Linked DNA regions of Oryzias latipes. The protein of the gene in region 1 purifies or fractionates together with the protein of each later gene. This does not show direct contact. Links are inferred from orthologs where the notes say so. Each region holds a gene or a part of one and is shown in the gene's direction. Other genes may lie near its edges.

Region 1 (4,247 bases):
AAAATCTATTTTGTTGTTTCCCCTGACTGATTACACATTACAGACTACTGTTTTTTATTTTAGATCAGATACAAACACTAAATATGGGTGAATATGAACTTGTTTCACTATTGATCAAATGTCAGTAAATTATTTTTCCGATTAACAGATGATTTTCATGAACCCAGTTTTATGGGACAGCACGTAGTAGAGATTATATATCAATTTAACCTGGGATTAACTGACTATAAGAACAAAGGTTCCCTATCGAGGCCCCCCAACAGCTGTTGTTGGCATGGTGACAAGCTCACCGTGACCGTCAGTCTGAAAATAGTGTGTAAACATTTACCTGTAATCTGACGTTAAACACCATTGAGGCTACCAAGTAAAAGTAGGGGAATCGTATTCTCAGCCGCCATGCGAGATCAAAAAATATCAACAAAGTCCTCGTCAAGCCTTTGGAGAATAGTCCGTAAGTCCGACCAGCGGAGCCCGAAAACCGGAGCACCAGATACGAAAGACTCGCCATAAAAGCCCAACCCTGAGCGCTGTGTTCTTGGCTTACAAAGGCAACAGGCAAGGGGACGCTACAATGGCTGCAAGTGTTGGATGAAGCTCCATTCTTCTATCTTTCACCCTCAACGAGCTCCGTCTTTTGCTGCCGTTGTACTGGCATCTACTCCACCCTGTTAGTTTTCTACCGAGGACAGACATCGCTGCGACACACGGAAGTGCAGTAAAACCAGGATTAAATAAAACCCCGAGTAAAGACTGAAAGGACTTCCAGATCTGGGTGGTGGCTAAGGAAAAAAAAAACACGTCCTAGACACAACTACTATGGTTCTCATAAAACTAAACAAACAGAAACATAGAAGAGGTTTTTTGAGTTACTAAATATGTATATATGTTGTTTTTGCACCATTACAAAACCAGGTAAATTGGTTTGTTTTCCAGAAGTTCACTACACAAAAAATCTTGAACTGAAGCAAAGTACTACAGACTTTTTGGAAATACAATGACCAACTAATCATTGATTGTGTTACATTTTTGAAGCTAAATATCTTTGTCGTATTAGAATAGGCACACATTGACTTTTTTTTTCTTTTACTACTTTATTTTTTAATACAGTGCATGTTTGCTGGTATGGTATAATTGAATTTATCGTGGTGTAGGGGTGGGAGAGCAAGCTATCCTTCCATCTCCAAAAAAACTTTTTCAGCCTGAAAGGCATAATTCAGGGAAATTAAACAACACACCAAAAATTCCATTGTAATCGTAAATGAACCGTAGACGCGTCAAAACTGACGTCAGTTCCACCCTAGGTGTCACACCGTAAATATTCCGTCTTCGACGATTTCTTTTATTTTGTTTTCATTAAACCAAAATGTAATATTTTAGTTTTCAAATGTTATTTATATATAACTTTAAGCTTTATATTTAAGACCAGAGTAGCTGACCCTTTTTTTTACTACTAGTTTGAGGCTATCTTTTCTTTGGTTAAGGTGTCTGTGGGCGTGCGCCGGATGCCCTATCTTGTAGAGCTGGCTTCATTTTTTTTTCTCTTTAGCTATAGGGGTGGTGGCCGCTGTTTTGCTCCATAACTCATAGAGCAGCTCACGAAAGCATGGGAATGTTGCCAGGGAATTTCTGAGTTTAGTTGACCTAAAGTCCGAATTGAGTCGCCGCAACTTTATTTTCTAACAAGCCGTTCTCCGTTTAGAAAGTTTTGAGTTAGCGCGGTCGACTGTTAGCAAAGACTGTTGGGTAGTTTCACTTGAGAGGAGTTGCGGACAAAGGACAAGCTATCCGAGCTAACGTTAACTGGCTCTGGGCTAACTTAGCATTCCTGTAGCTGCGGCGCAATGCAGGCCATAAAGTGTGTCGTTGTTGGAGACGGGTAAGTTGAACCTAACTAAACTCACTGTGATATTTAACATTTAATCGACAGTTTTGGTATCAAACCCTGAAACCGCCAGTGATGTCGAAAAGTTGTCATTCGACATAAATGTTGCGTCTTATTTTTGGAGTTGTAAAGTTAGCCAAGTTATCGGTTAAATATTGGACTTTCAAGTTCTTTTCTTTTTTTTTCGAAATGTACAACATTTTGTATTGCATTTGTTTTTCCCCTGATATTACCGTTCTGGATCCAATGTTCCAGATTTTTTTATTTATTTACGCCAAAATCAGTGAATAGAGTTAGATTGATCTTAGATTTGTTTTGAAGTTATTTTTGAACAAAATGGGCAAAAATTATATGTACTTTTTCGAAGAGTTGAAATTTGTTTCTTCTTCTGTTGTATTGACACGGGCGTGTTTTTGTGTTACACAATAGTTAAATTAGTAGGTTTAGTTTGCAATATTTTAAAGACAGGATTGTCAATGAGCTAATATTGAAAGTCTGACTGATGTGTAATATGCTAGAGGTAAACACACTTGTAACGTCTTGTCGAGGGTGCGGCTGGTCCCACCGCAGCGGAGTCGTCCCTCGACCTCTCCGACTTTTGTTTTGTTTTCCGTTCCGACTTGAAGAAACTCTAAGGCACCAGTTCTCTTTAAAGTTTCAAAAGTTTAAAATATCTGCTTACTCATCAACTAGCCTGGAAGAGAAAAAAAAACCTTATTTCCTGAAATCAGTGCACTCATTCTATCAGGAGTGCTTCAATAAAACTGACATTACCTACGAGATGATAATAAATGATTAACTGGCAATTATTGATTTTTGATATTGGATTATTTTGATCCTGCTTTTATCCTACGGATGATAATGTGACTCTCAGACTTCCTCCTTTCAGTTTGTTAAAAACCAAACTTTGCGTAGTGTCCACATTTAACTTGAAACTATATTTTTAATGGTTGTAATTATTTCAAGTAACTTTGATGTTATTAAATAAAATGCTTGGACTGTTTTTAGCTTTGTAAATGTAAAATAATCGAACAACTTAAGCCTGACTTTAATGACAGCTTGTATATGTTTTATTTTCCTGAATTCTGAACATAACATTTCTCTTATTCAGTGCTGTGGGTAAGACATGTCTACTCATCAGCTACACCACCAATGCCTTTCCAGGAGAGTACATCCCCACAGTGTGAGTGTTTATTTATTCATAATGGCTAAGCTGTCTGTCATTCTTCTTCTGGACAGTTGTTGCTTAACTGTGTCTTTGTTTCATTTCTTCAACTGGTCTTATGGGGGAATATTAGTTTCCTTGTACATAAGAAGTCACTTTCTTTTTTAACAGGCAGCTGTTTGGGTTCAGAGAAGCATTTGTTATGTAAAATTACCAGAAGTGCAACCAGCTAGTTTATTTTCTTAGTTGTGGGATCTGTGGCTTTTTGGGAATTTGTCACTCAAAACACTTTGGTTCATTCTGATTATTTATAAATGTACATTCTGCTTTTATTCTGATTCAAGAACAAGCTGAAAACATGTACTGCTGATGAACAAGGCTTTGATTTTTGACCCCCAAAAAACCTGTTTGATTTATCTAATGATCATAGAAATTCAGAAATATGTAGCAAGGCTTGAATGACATAACTGAGTTTTTATGAATGCTTGATTCTCACAGGTTTGATAACTACTCTGCCAATGTTATGGTGGATGGGAAGCCGGTGAACCTGGGCCTTTGGGATACAGCTGGACAAGAAGACTACGACAGACTCCGCCCACTTTCTTACCCACAGACGGTACAATGACAAAAATAGTCAGACAAGGTGTTATTTAGTTGATAACTTTTATAAATAATTAATTGGGAGCATTTGTGGTATTCAAATGTAGAAGAGGGTTTTAAAGAAAGTTAAACAGACCACCTTAGCGATAGGTTATTTATTTTTATTTATTTTTTGCTCAACAGGAAATGAATTTCATGGACTCTGAACCTTTTTTGTCTTTGTCTTACAGGATGTGTTCCTCATCTGCTTCTCTCTTGTGAGTCCGGCCTCATTTGAAAACGTCCGTGCCAAGGTTAGTGGTGCCTGAGCAAAAAACACTAATAATACAGATGTGAACACGTTGACTTTTTTAATGTTGGTAATTAAAATACAGACCTGTGTTTTTTCATATACAGTTTATTTTTATTTTTTTGTAAAAAAAAAAAAAGTGTATTTAAAGAACAATTTCAAGAGATGTGTACTATTGATTGGCTTTTTATGTAGAAAACTGGCCCAAAACACATACATTTTATTCATATCTAAGGCTACATTTTTACTATTCCCCAATCTTCTTACTTTTTGTGTTTCTTACACTTTTTTGTTAAATATTTAAAACATCC
Region 2 (4,380 bases), on another chromosome or scaffold:
TTTTTTCAGTTGGGTTTATTGAAATTATGGGAATTAGTGAAACTTAAAACAGCACACATCATAAAGCCAGAAACAACTTGTTAGCAATAAACTTACCGTACAACAAATGTTTAAGGACAGAGATGGGAGTTACAATTTAAGAAATCAGCTAAACCTCAAAAAGCAGCGCATTCATACTACAAAAAAGAAAACATGCTCATCAATTTGGGGTGTGGATTTATGGAACAGATTGGATGAAGGTTTAAAACAAACCAAAAGTTTACATGCATTCAAGAAAACCTACAGGATGGAACAGAACAAGAAATGATCAATAAAAACAAAAATGCCTCTTCTGCATCCACATTACATTCCTATGTAATGTGGATGCAGAACATGTACAAAACTGTAAATAGAAATACGCAGATCATCAGGTGTTGTAAAAAAGAGGTGGGATCATACAAGATTTCTCTTCAGCCCACTCTTTTTGTTTTATCTATGTTAAACTCTTGTGTTTATTTTCATTTGTGTTTGAAATAAACAAAACTGAATTGAATAGATTGAAATGTAATTATCTGTCTGTATGAAGCTCTGCTGGTGAATCATCCAGAGTGAACTCCAGGAGCTGGGGGAGGGTCCAGTGACCCTGACCAGAAACCAATGGGTTTACCAATGGATGGATGTCTGAATGTGACTTTGAAATGGCAACCCAATTCTTTATTTTCTTGTGCTTTAAAAAGAAGGAACATGGTCAAATGACGTTCTTATATACTATTGTTACGTTTTGGGGATTTTTTTATGCAATGGGTCTCTTGCAGGTGTATCCAAACTAAATTCTAAAAAAATAAAAAGGAAAAAAGATAAAAAGTTAGGATGGCAACTAATTACTAAGGTAACCCAAAAAAATCCTTTTGTGTGTCCCCCTTCCCCATAGTTTTTCTATTTGGGGATTGTTGTGGGCCATTTTGTAGATCTGAAATATTCCAAGGGCTGAACGGTGCCTCACACCAATAAGGCCCCTGGTTCAAGTCCCGGCTGGGGGACCTGAACCAATGTCAATGGGGGGGCCTTTCTGTGTGGAGTTTGCGTGTTCTCCCCGTGCATGTGTCCAAAAACATGGGTTATTGGTCACTCTAAAATTGTCCATATGTGAGCGTGCATGAGTGCATGGTGCGGGATTGTGGCCCTGCGGCAGACTGGAGACCGATCCAGGGTATCCCTGACTTCACCCACAGGTGGCCGGGATAGGCTCCAGCAGCCCCGTGACGCTGAAAGGCATAAAACGGAATAGAATATTATTTCAGAAATCAAAAAAAGATAGTCTGCAACCCACTTTCAACATTTTGCCCATAGCTGCACTGTTGAAAATAAGCTTCTTCTTGTTTGGATCACATATCAAAGATGTTGGAATTTTTTTTTTTCATTTTCAATTTTTTTTTATTTGTTTCTCTTTAATCAACTTTTTCTGTGGTAAACGTTCTTCCTTCATTACGACAGGAAAGCAATAATGTAATATTTTATCTGAACGTTAGGTGCCATCAATGGTGCGGAATTGAATTAAGATGTCCGAGCGTACTTGAACGCCTCTCAGTCCTGTTGTGGAAAACCAGGACAGCTCCTCCCAGTCCCTGACCGAGAGAGAAGGGGGAGACCGCGGGTGGAGGACAGGAAGCTGTTTTCCACAAACATCTGAGTATGGAACACATCTAAATCCTGCATAAATCACTGCCTTTACTCTGCTTCCAGATTTTGAACAATAGCTTTTTGCGATTCCAGCTCTTTTTTGGGATCGGACTGGAAATCTAAACGAACAGCGAGAAGATGTCTCGGGCGGGGATCCAGCCCAGCCAGCAGAAACTGGCCGAAAAGCTCACCATCCTCAACGACAGAGGGATTGGAATGTTGACACGGGTGTACAATATTAAAAAGGTTGGCGCACACACGCACACGGTGGTCACCATTCATCCGGGAAAGCTGCACGCGAACCAGGACAGAATTCTTCCTGAATCCTAACTCCCTTCGGGGATCGCCCGTCAGGATGCGGGCTAACGAACACTTTCTCCGGGCAGTGACTGAAGCCCCAATTTAATTTGTATTCCCCCCGGCTTATTTATGTAAAAATGTTCCTGAAAGGACAAATATGTGAAAGAAATGTCCGCATTCTAGGCATATTTCTTCGCAGCATCCCAGGCTACGGCTCTCCTTAGCAGAGCTAGCTAGCACCGATGGCGTTAGCTTGCGGTAAAGTCGTTCACCGGTTCTTACGTGAAAAATGGTGGCGTGAGAACAAACAAACACGGGCGCCTGTCGCAAACAAGTGGGTAACATTAATCCCCACCATTCAAAGAAAACGGAGGATTTAGTCGAGCCCTGCAGTCCTTAGCGGAGCTAACTGCTACAGCCTCTCCGGTAATGGCGGCGGCGCGGATGCCGGAGCTCCGCTCCAGCGGGGCGTCGTCTCTGAACGAAGCCGAACGAGGAGCACTGAAAGTCGAATGGCGTTCGGTCCCTCACACCGGAGGAGAAACGGAACCCGCAGCGATGTGAACAAATGGGCCGATATTTTACGTCGTTTGTTTGATAGAACAAAATAGAAATATAACCTATTGGAAATGTTTTTAGGGGTAAATTCCAGCTGTTGTTGTCACAATCATCAAACACGGCGAGTGAAATACTTCTATCTGAAAATGTTAATGGAGTTTTCCCTCTGATCCATGTGAGGGAGGTGATTTGTTCACTTCCAAAACTATTAAAACTGTCAGATGACACTTTACCCCAAAGCTTTTCGTGTTTTTAAAGTTAGGGCTATCTTGAATATTTGAGCTGAAATGATTATTTCTTTTCAAACTGGTGTTGGTGATATTTCCATCCAGAAACTTCTGATTTTGAAGGTTTTCTGATGAGGGTTTTCTTTTTCTTTTACTGCAGTCTTATCTTAGAGGAAAGCATATGTTTGTAGTGTTTGATACATCTTCCCTTTTAAAGGAACAAACTGCTGTTTTTTGTCTGAGATGGAAAGGACTTGCTCTGATGTGATCTGCGTTCACATCAGACGGGGTTCACTTCAAATTTGTGTCTGCTGCCCGGCCGTAAATGCAAAAGCATGCACCTATTTACTAGTGGTGTAGCAATTTGTTCTGAAAACTATTCGATTCATATCATAATTTGTGGTTGCTGATCCAATCCATAATTGATATTGGATCATTTTGATCGATCCAGTTCTCTGACCTGAAGTGGATCCGGGAGATCTATAACTAAAACTTCCAGCAGTGAGACTCAGACAGAAATTCCTGCTACTGAACAGTGGAGTTTTCCAGATTCTTCCAGATCATCTAAACTAGAATAAATGTCAAATCCATTCACATGTTAGTTTCCTAAAGTTCCCCTCTGTTGTTTTTCCACATCCAAAGAATCCAAAGGGAACATTCTGAGAACATTCTAGACACTGGATGGTCACATGACTTTATTCAAAGTCTGTCCACACGTTGGACTGGAATGATCAGTTTAGCAGGGGGACACGTCTGGCCCTGCAGGGTTTGAGTCCCTGGTGGTGTAGTGATGGTTTGTTACTTTGGTCCCAGCTCTCTGCAGGTCATCCACCAGGTCCCCAATGTGGGGTTCTGGGATTTTTTCTCACCGTTCTTGTGATCATTGTGACCCCATGGGGTGAGATCTTGGGGGGAGCCCCAGATGGAGGGAGATTATCAGTGGTCTTCCATTTCCTAATAATTGCTCCCACAGTTGATTTCTTCACACCAAGCTGCTTCCTGTTGCAGATTCAGTCTTCCAGCCTGGTGCAGGTCAATAATTTGGTTCCTGGTGTCCTTAGACAGCTCTTTGGCCTTAGTGGAGTTTAGAGTGTGACTGTTTGAGGTTGTGAACAGATGTCTTTATATAGATAACGGCTATGTCAGATTTCCTTCACTACTCACTACATAGTGCACTATATAGTGCGTTCACCATTTTGTTGTGCTGTCCGACTGTACAATTCCAAAATCGAGTGCTCTAGAAATTTCCCAGAAGTCTCTGCAAAAACCAGTGTGCATTGATGCTCACTAGATTGGCGAATATAGACAACAATGCATTGCGTTTGAACAATTTTTGTGAAAAAATTCAGTTTAAATATATATTTAAATAAAACATCAACATTTTCATCCCCAGATCTCAATGGATTTATAAATGATCGTCGCGCTCATATCAGTGAGATTTTCCCTTCATGAAATTGATGATGTCATATTAGATGTTAAGAAAAAAAAAGTATTGAGCATTGTGTCCTAATTGCTTTTAAAGTCCACTTGATAGTCCAGCACTGTCCAGCACTTTGCTTTTTTAGAGGGGCTCTGCTTTCACGGCGCTCTTTCTCAGTGGGGTCATGTCTTCACTAGTGACTTGAGTACCCCTAGT
Region 3 (4,263 bases), on another chromosome or scaffold:
AAGTTCATTAAAAATTCAACTCTGAGCTGTGGGCTGGACTGTTGGTGTGGCGCATTTCTGCCTAATTTCCCGTCATCCATCCATGACACCCCCGACCTAACATCATCGATGCAACAAAAATGGTGAGCAATACTGGAGCTATCCATTCATACAGTTTAGATCCAGACTCCAGCTCAGACCAGGAAAACAAAGACGTACGTCTACAGGCTCAAAGGGTTGGAATGGGTACAATTGGATGCATCAGAATGGAGCAGAGCATGTTTGTGGCCCGCCCAACGTATTTTCTATGTAACAAATATGCTCTTTTTTTAAACTGCAATTTTTATTCTGTGTCCCTTATTCACAGTTATTTGAATTAAGAAATACTCAGTGATGCAATTTCAATATTAGTTTTATTTGTCCTCCATCATCAGAAAAATGCCACAAAACAACACCAAAAAATACACTGTTTATTGGAGTTGGTCTCTAAGTTCCACTCCATAGTGAGACTGTAGCATTGTTACAGGTATCAGGGCAAATTAACCCTTGTGCTATCTTAGATGACCCCACCCTTACATTGACCTGTTCTCCCTACCATGACAAAGGTGGATAAAGGTGGAAAGATTTCATGTAATCCATGGACACCAGTGAAGATCACAAATCATTGAAGAAAAAAGGTTCAGAGCACTGTCTAGTGGGTCTAGATGACCCAAATCCCAATGGTAACGTACCTAGGATAGCACATTAAAGGAGTAGACCTGCTGCGGCTGTTACCCTCATGGGCACTGACAGTAGAGTTTAGGGGTGGAGCAAAGGAATCCCAGTCACACAGAACAACCCAGCAGTAAGGCCCCAAGCCAAATTCTGCCACAGGTATCAATAATTATGCAGATATCAGTCTGCTTACAGAAGATAACATATTTTTTTAGAAACAGAAAAGATCATCTTAAAGGTACACTACAGCTACTTGTAATGAAATAAGTGCTCCGCATTTCACCCTGACTAATTATTGTGCACAAGAAGCCTATCAAAAAAGGGTAACACGTAGAAGAAAAAGACCATTCCATAAAATCCATACATTGCTTCTGTTCCACTGATGAGTGAGCTGCTGCCAAGAAGAGGTGAGAGGAAACTATCAGGGATGCCGGGTGCTTTACTTGAAGCTGACAAGAAAAGGAAAAGCATTGACACCTGCTCTCAAATGTTATTACTAATTCTGCATTTTCCCCCTCTTGATCTGTTTGCTTGTTTGTTTTCTTTTCTCTTGGAACAATCGATCGGTTTGGGACTCAGGTATGGCAGGTTTTCCCACTTCGACATTCAGTAATCCCATCTCACCCTCCTCCCTCTGAACAAGTGCCGTCTTATTCTGCCTTCATTCCTGAACGAAGCAGGGTTTTTTCCGTGCGTGTCACAGCAGCCCTTTGGTGTGAGATCACGTCCTTCTCTGCAGCCCAAGCGGCTGTTGTGCCGAGCGCGCACACGCAGGTGGCTGTGCAGACGCAGCGGAGCTTTCCCCTGCGCGCTCAGACTTTCCGCAGTTTTGTCTCACTCGGCGCCAAGGCAGCTCAGGGTTGATTTCATCATCAGGCGCGCGGTAGTCCGCGCTCACGCCTCCCACTTCGCTTCCCAGAGTGATCTGTGTTTGGACGGAGGACCCCATTTGCTCCTGAGGACAGAATGACAGGGGAGCGCACTGACGGAGACGCTGACGAGGTACAGTATGGCTCTCCCCTTTTAAATTAAATTATTTCCCCTTTTTGATATTTGCTTGTTGTTGTTTTATTCTGTTAAACTAGTTATTCTAGTATTTTTAGTTTCCTGCTGTGGCAAGCGCTGCGCTTTAGGAAAAAGCCAATTAACGCAACCAAATCCTGAGCTTTACGCGTCAGATTGCTCTGCTTCATCCAGGAAGAGACTTTAAAAGCGTTTAAAAGTTGGATTTTCAACCTCATTTTTCCACAAATGATCAAAATCATAAAAGCTTTGAGAGGATTCACTTTTACAACATATACTTGCATGTATGAATATTCATATTTTACAAATGTCACCTCTGGTAAAAAAAAAAAAAAAAAAAAAAAAAGATTAGTAGATGATATTCTGCTTGGATGGTGAGATGAAACACTGTTGCTTTTTCACAGAAAATGTTTTGAAGCGTTGCCATGCGTCCACATCCATGTGGAGCCAACTGTATGATAGGTCAGGACAGGAGCACTGTGTGGGTGGTGAGGACCCCTTGCGGCTGAGTGCAGGGGTGTGGTGCTGCGTGTTCAGTGCGCTTAAACCCATCCCTGTTCTCGAGGCAGGCCGGTGACTTGCACTGCAGTCTCGCTCCCTCTCGGCGCGCTGCGCACCACTCCGCCTCCACCACCTCCTCCTCTTCCTCACTTGTTTGCCTCCCTCGGATCTCCACAGGAGTTTCTGCAGTCGCCCTTCATCCGAAAGCAGGGGAACATATACAAGCCAAACAACAAAGACATGGACAACGACAGCGTAAACGAGAAGACGATGGATGATGTCCACACCAAAGAGATAGATCTAGTCAACCGGGACCCTAAACAAATAAACGACGACGTTGTCAAGGTGAGTCAGACCTGCTAATTTCGAACTTTTCAAGTTACTTTTAAAGTTGCAGCTGCAGAATCTTTCAAGACTTTTTGTGACAACAAAAAATAACAGTTGAGAGACTCCTGTGTCACAGACATTTCGGCCACTTTTTGCTTTTAAAGTCCAAGAATGTGATCAAAAACTGTCCAAGTGTTAAAATCTGGTTTGGTGTTTTCTGCGCCTGTGCGTCATCGTGCGCTCCCGGGGCTCAGACGCTGCTGCGCGCTGCCTCTCCAGAGCGGCCTCTTACTTTCTTTCCCCCTATTAGGAAGGAACTTTGCAGATGGAGTTGTGCTTTGCGCAGGCTGCACAGCCCATCTGCACGCACGGATTAAAAACGTGACCATCGGAACAAAGGAAACAGTACGAATTTCCTGTTTTTGGGACTCACGTTTCCCACAGTGGTTGCCTTGAAACCCTGAATTCTTTCCATAAGGGACATGCGCACAGAGGTTATGAGAGGGAGAGCTGGAAGCCACCTGAGGCGCTATGATACTGGAGGGGAGCGTCAGCTGTCTGTCACTCTCCACTCCAGCTGAGGCGGGCTTTCACATCAGAGCGGGGTCAAACAGCCCCCTGCATGAGAAGGATGGGTCAGGCCTCTGAAATGCCTGAACTGCGCTGTTAAAACAGGGAAACACCCAAGTAGCTGCTTAGTCAGAGGGGGATCCCTCACCACTCCCAGTGTTCTGATCTCCCCCCTTTCACCTGTCAGCATTCCAGCCAGAGGATTTAAATCTGAAGACATGTATGAATCGCTAAACCAACCGCCAAACTCATAAACAGTTCTTCCTCTCATGTTATTTCTGGAATTCCTCCACAAAATGATTCGATTTTATCAGATTCAGCTGATATTTCACTCCACGGGAACATTATCTGCAGTGTAACGTACAAATGTTGCCCCTTGGAAACACCCAGTCACTAGCATGAGACAAAGTGGGCACTAAATGCAGAAGTGAGTGAATTCAATAATGACCAACACATCCTTTCTTATTACACTGCACAGACTTGGCAAAGCGCTTAAGATTTCCTGTTTCTGTCTCTTCTTCACCGCTCTGCATCCTCCTGCTCTCAGTTGTGACGGTGAGTCAGACTCTCCCTGCGGTCAGGGCAGATTGAGGCTTTATGATCAAGTCAACTGACCGCCCTCAAAGTTAGTTTTCATCACATGGTCATGGACTGTAAACAAGAAACTTGTGTAATGAATTCCAGTTTCCATGATAACTTCTGAAAAGGTTTAAGCTATTCTTAAATCTGTGCTACGTTTAAGACCCACTCCATTGAAAATGGTGTTTTTGTTGTTTTTAACATGTTCTTGTGGTAATTTTCTGATGATGGAGGACTTATATAAAGAAAATGAAACTCAAAAACGCCATTTCTGAGTGTGTCTTTACTGAAATTGTTGTGATTCAGGAGCATAGAAAAAACTCTGAAAAAGATCGCATTGGTTGCATAGAAAATATGCTGGGTGTGCCACAAGCTCCCCGCTTTGCTCCATTCTGATGCATCCACTTGTAAACAGATCCATTAATGGTTTGTTTTTTCTGGTTTGAGCTGATATTTGGCTCAAAACTGCACGGCTGGATAGATGGCACAGATCAGAGTGGGTCTATAAGTAGAGCAGTCGTGTCTTTTCCGTTGATGGAAGCAGCTGGTTGGTATGAAAGAGCTAAATCC

What was found. Proteins that work in one complex are often made in the same cells at the same time.
Region 2: the proteins of ras-related C3 botulinum toxin substrate 1 (region 1) and nckap1 purify together in Homo sapiens (pull-down; 4 studies listed by BioGRID and IntAct, with this or other methods). This does not show direct contact. The link is inferred for Oryzias latipes from reciprocal best matches to the Homo sapiens genes RAC1 and NCKAP1.
Region 3: the proteins of ras-related C3 botulinum toxin substrate 1 (region 1) and caveolin-1 purify together in Homo sapiens (affinity purification with western blotting; 4 studies listed by BioGRID and IntAct, with this or other methods). This does not show direct contact. The link is inferred for Oryzias latipes from reciprocal best matches to the Homo sapiens genes RAC1 and CAV1.

Annotation. Positions count from the first base shown.
Region 1 is NC_019866.2:11,732,684-11,736,930, reverse strand, and holds the start of ras-related C3 botulinum toxin substrate 1, read left to right. Parts: upstream 1-1,293; 5' UTR 1,294-1,841; coding exon 1,842-1,876; intron 1,877-2,993; coding exon 2,994-3,065; intron 3,066-3,545; coding exon 3,546-3,663; intron 3,664-3,877; coding exon 3,878-3,940; intron 3,941-4,247. UniProt on the Homo sapiens protein: Plasma membrane-associated small GTPase which cycles between active GTP-bound and inactive GDP-bound states.
Region 2 is NC_019873.2:828,070-832,449, reverse strand, and holds the start of nckap1 (nck-associated protein 1), read left to right. Parts: upstream 1-1,548; 5' UTR 1,549-1,669; intron 1,670-1,752; 5' UTR 1,753-1,797; coding exon 1,798-1,905; intron 1,906-4,380. UniProt on the Homo sapiens protein: Part of the WAVE complex that regulates lamellipodia formation. The WAVE complex regulates actin filament reorganization via its interaction with the Arp2/3 complex. Actin remodeling activity is regulated by RAC1.
Region 3 is NC_019864.2:2,997,729-3,001,991, forward strand, and holds the start of caveolin-1, read left to right. Parts: upstream 1-1,431; 5' UTR 1,432-1,659; coding exon 1,660-1,695; intron 1,696-2,394; coding exon 2,395-2,562; intron 2,563-4,263. UniProt on the Homo sapiens protein: May act as a scaffolding protein within caveolar membranes. Forms a stable heterooligomeric complex with CAV2 that targets to lipid rafts and drives caveolae formation. Mediates the recruitment of CAVIN proteins (CAVIN1/2/3/4) to the caveolae.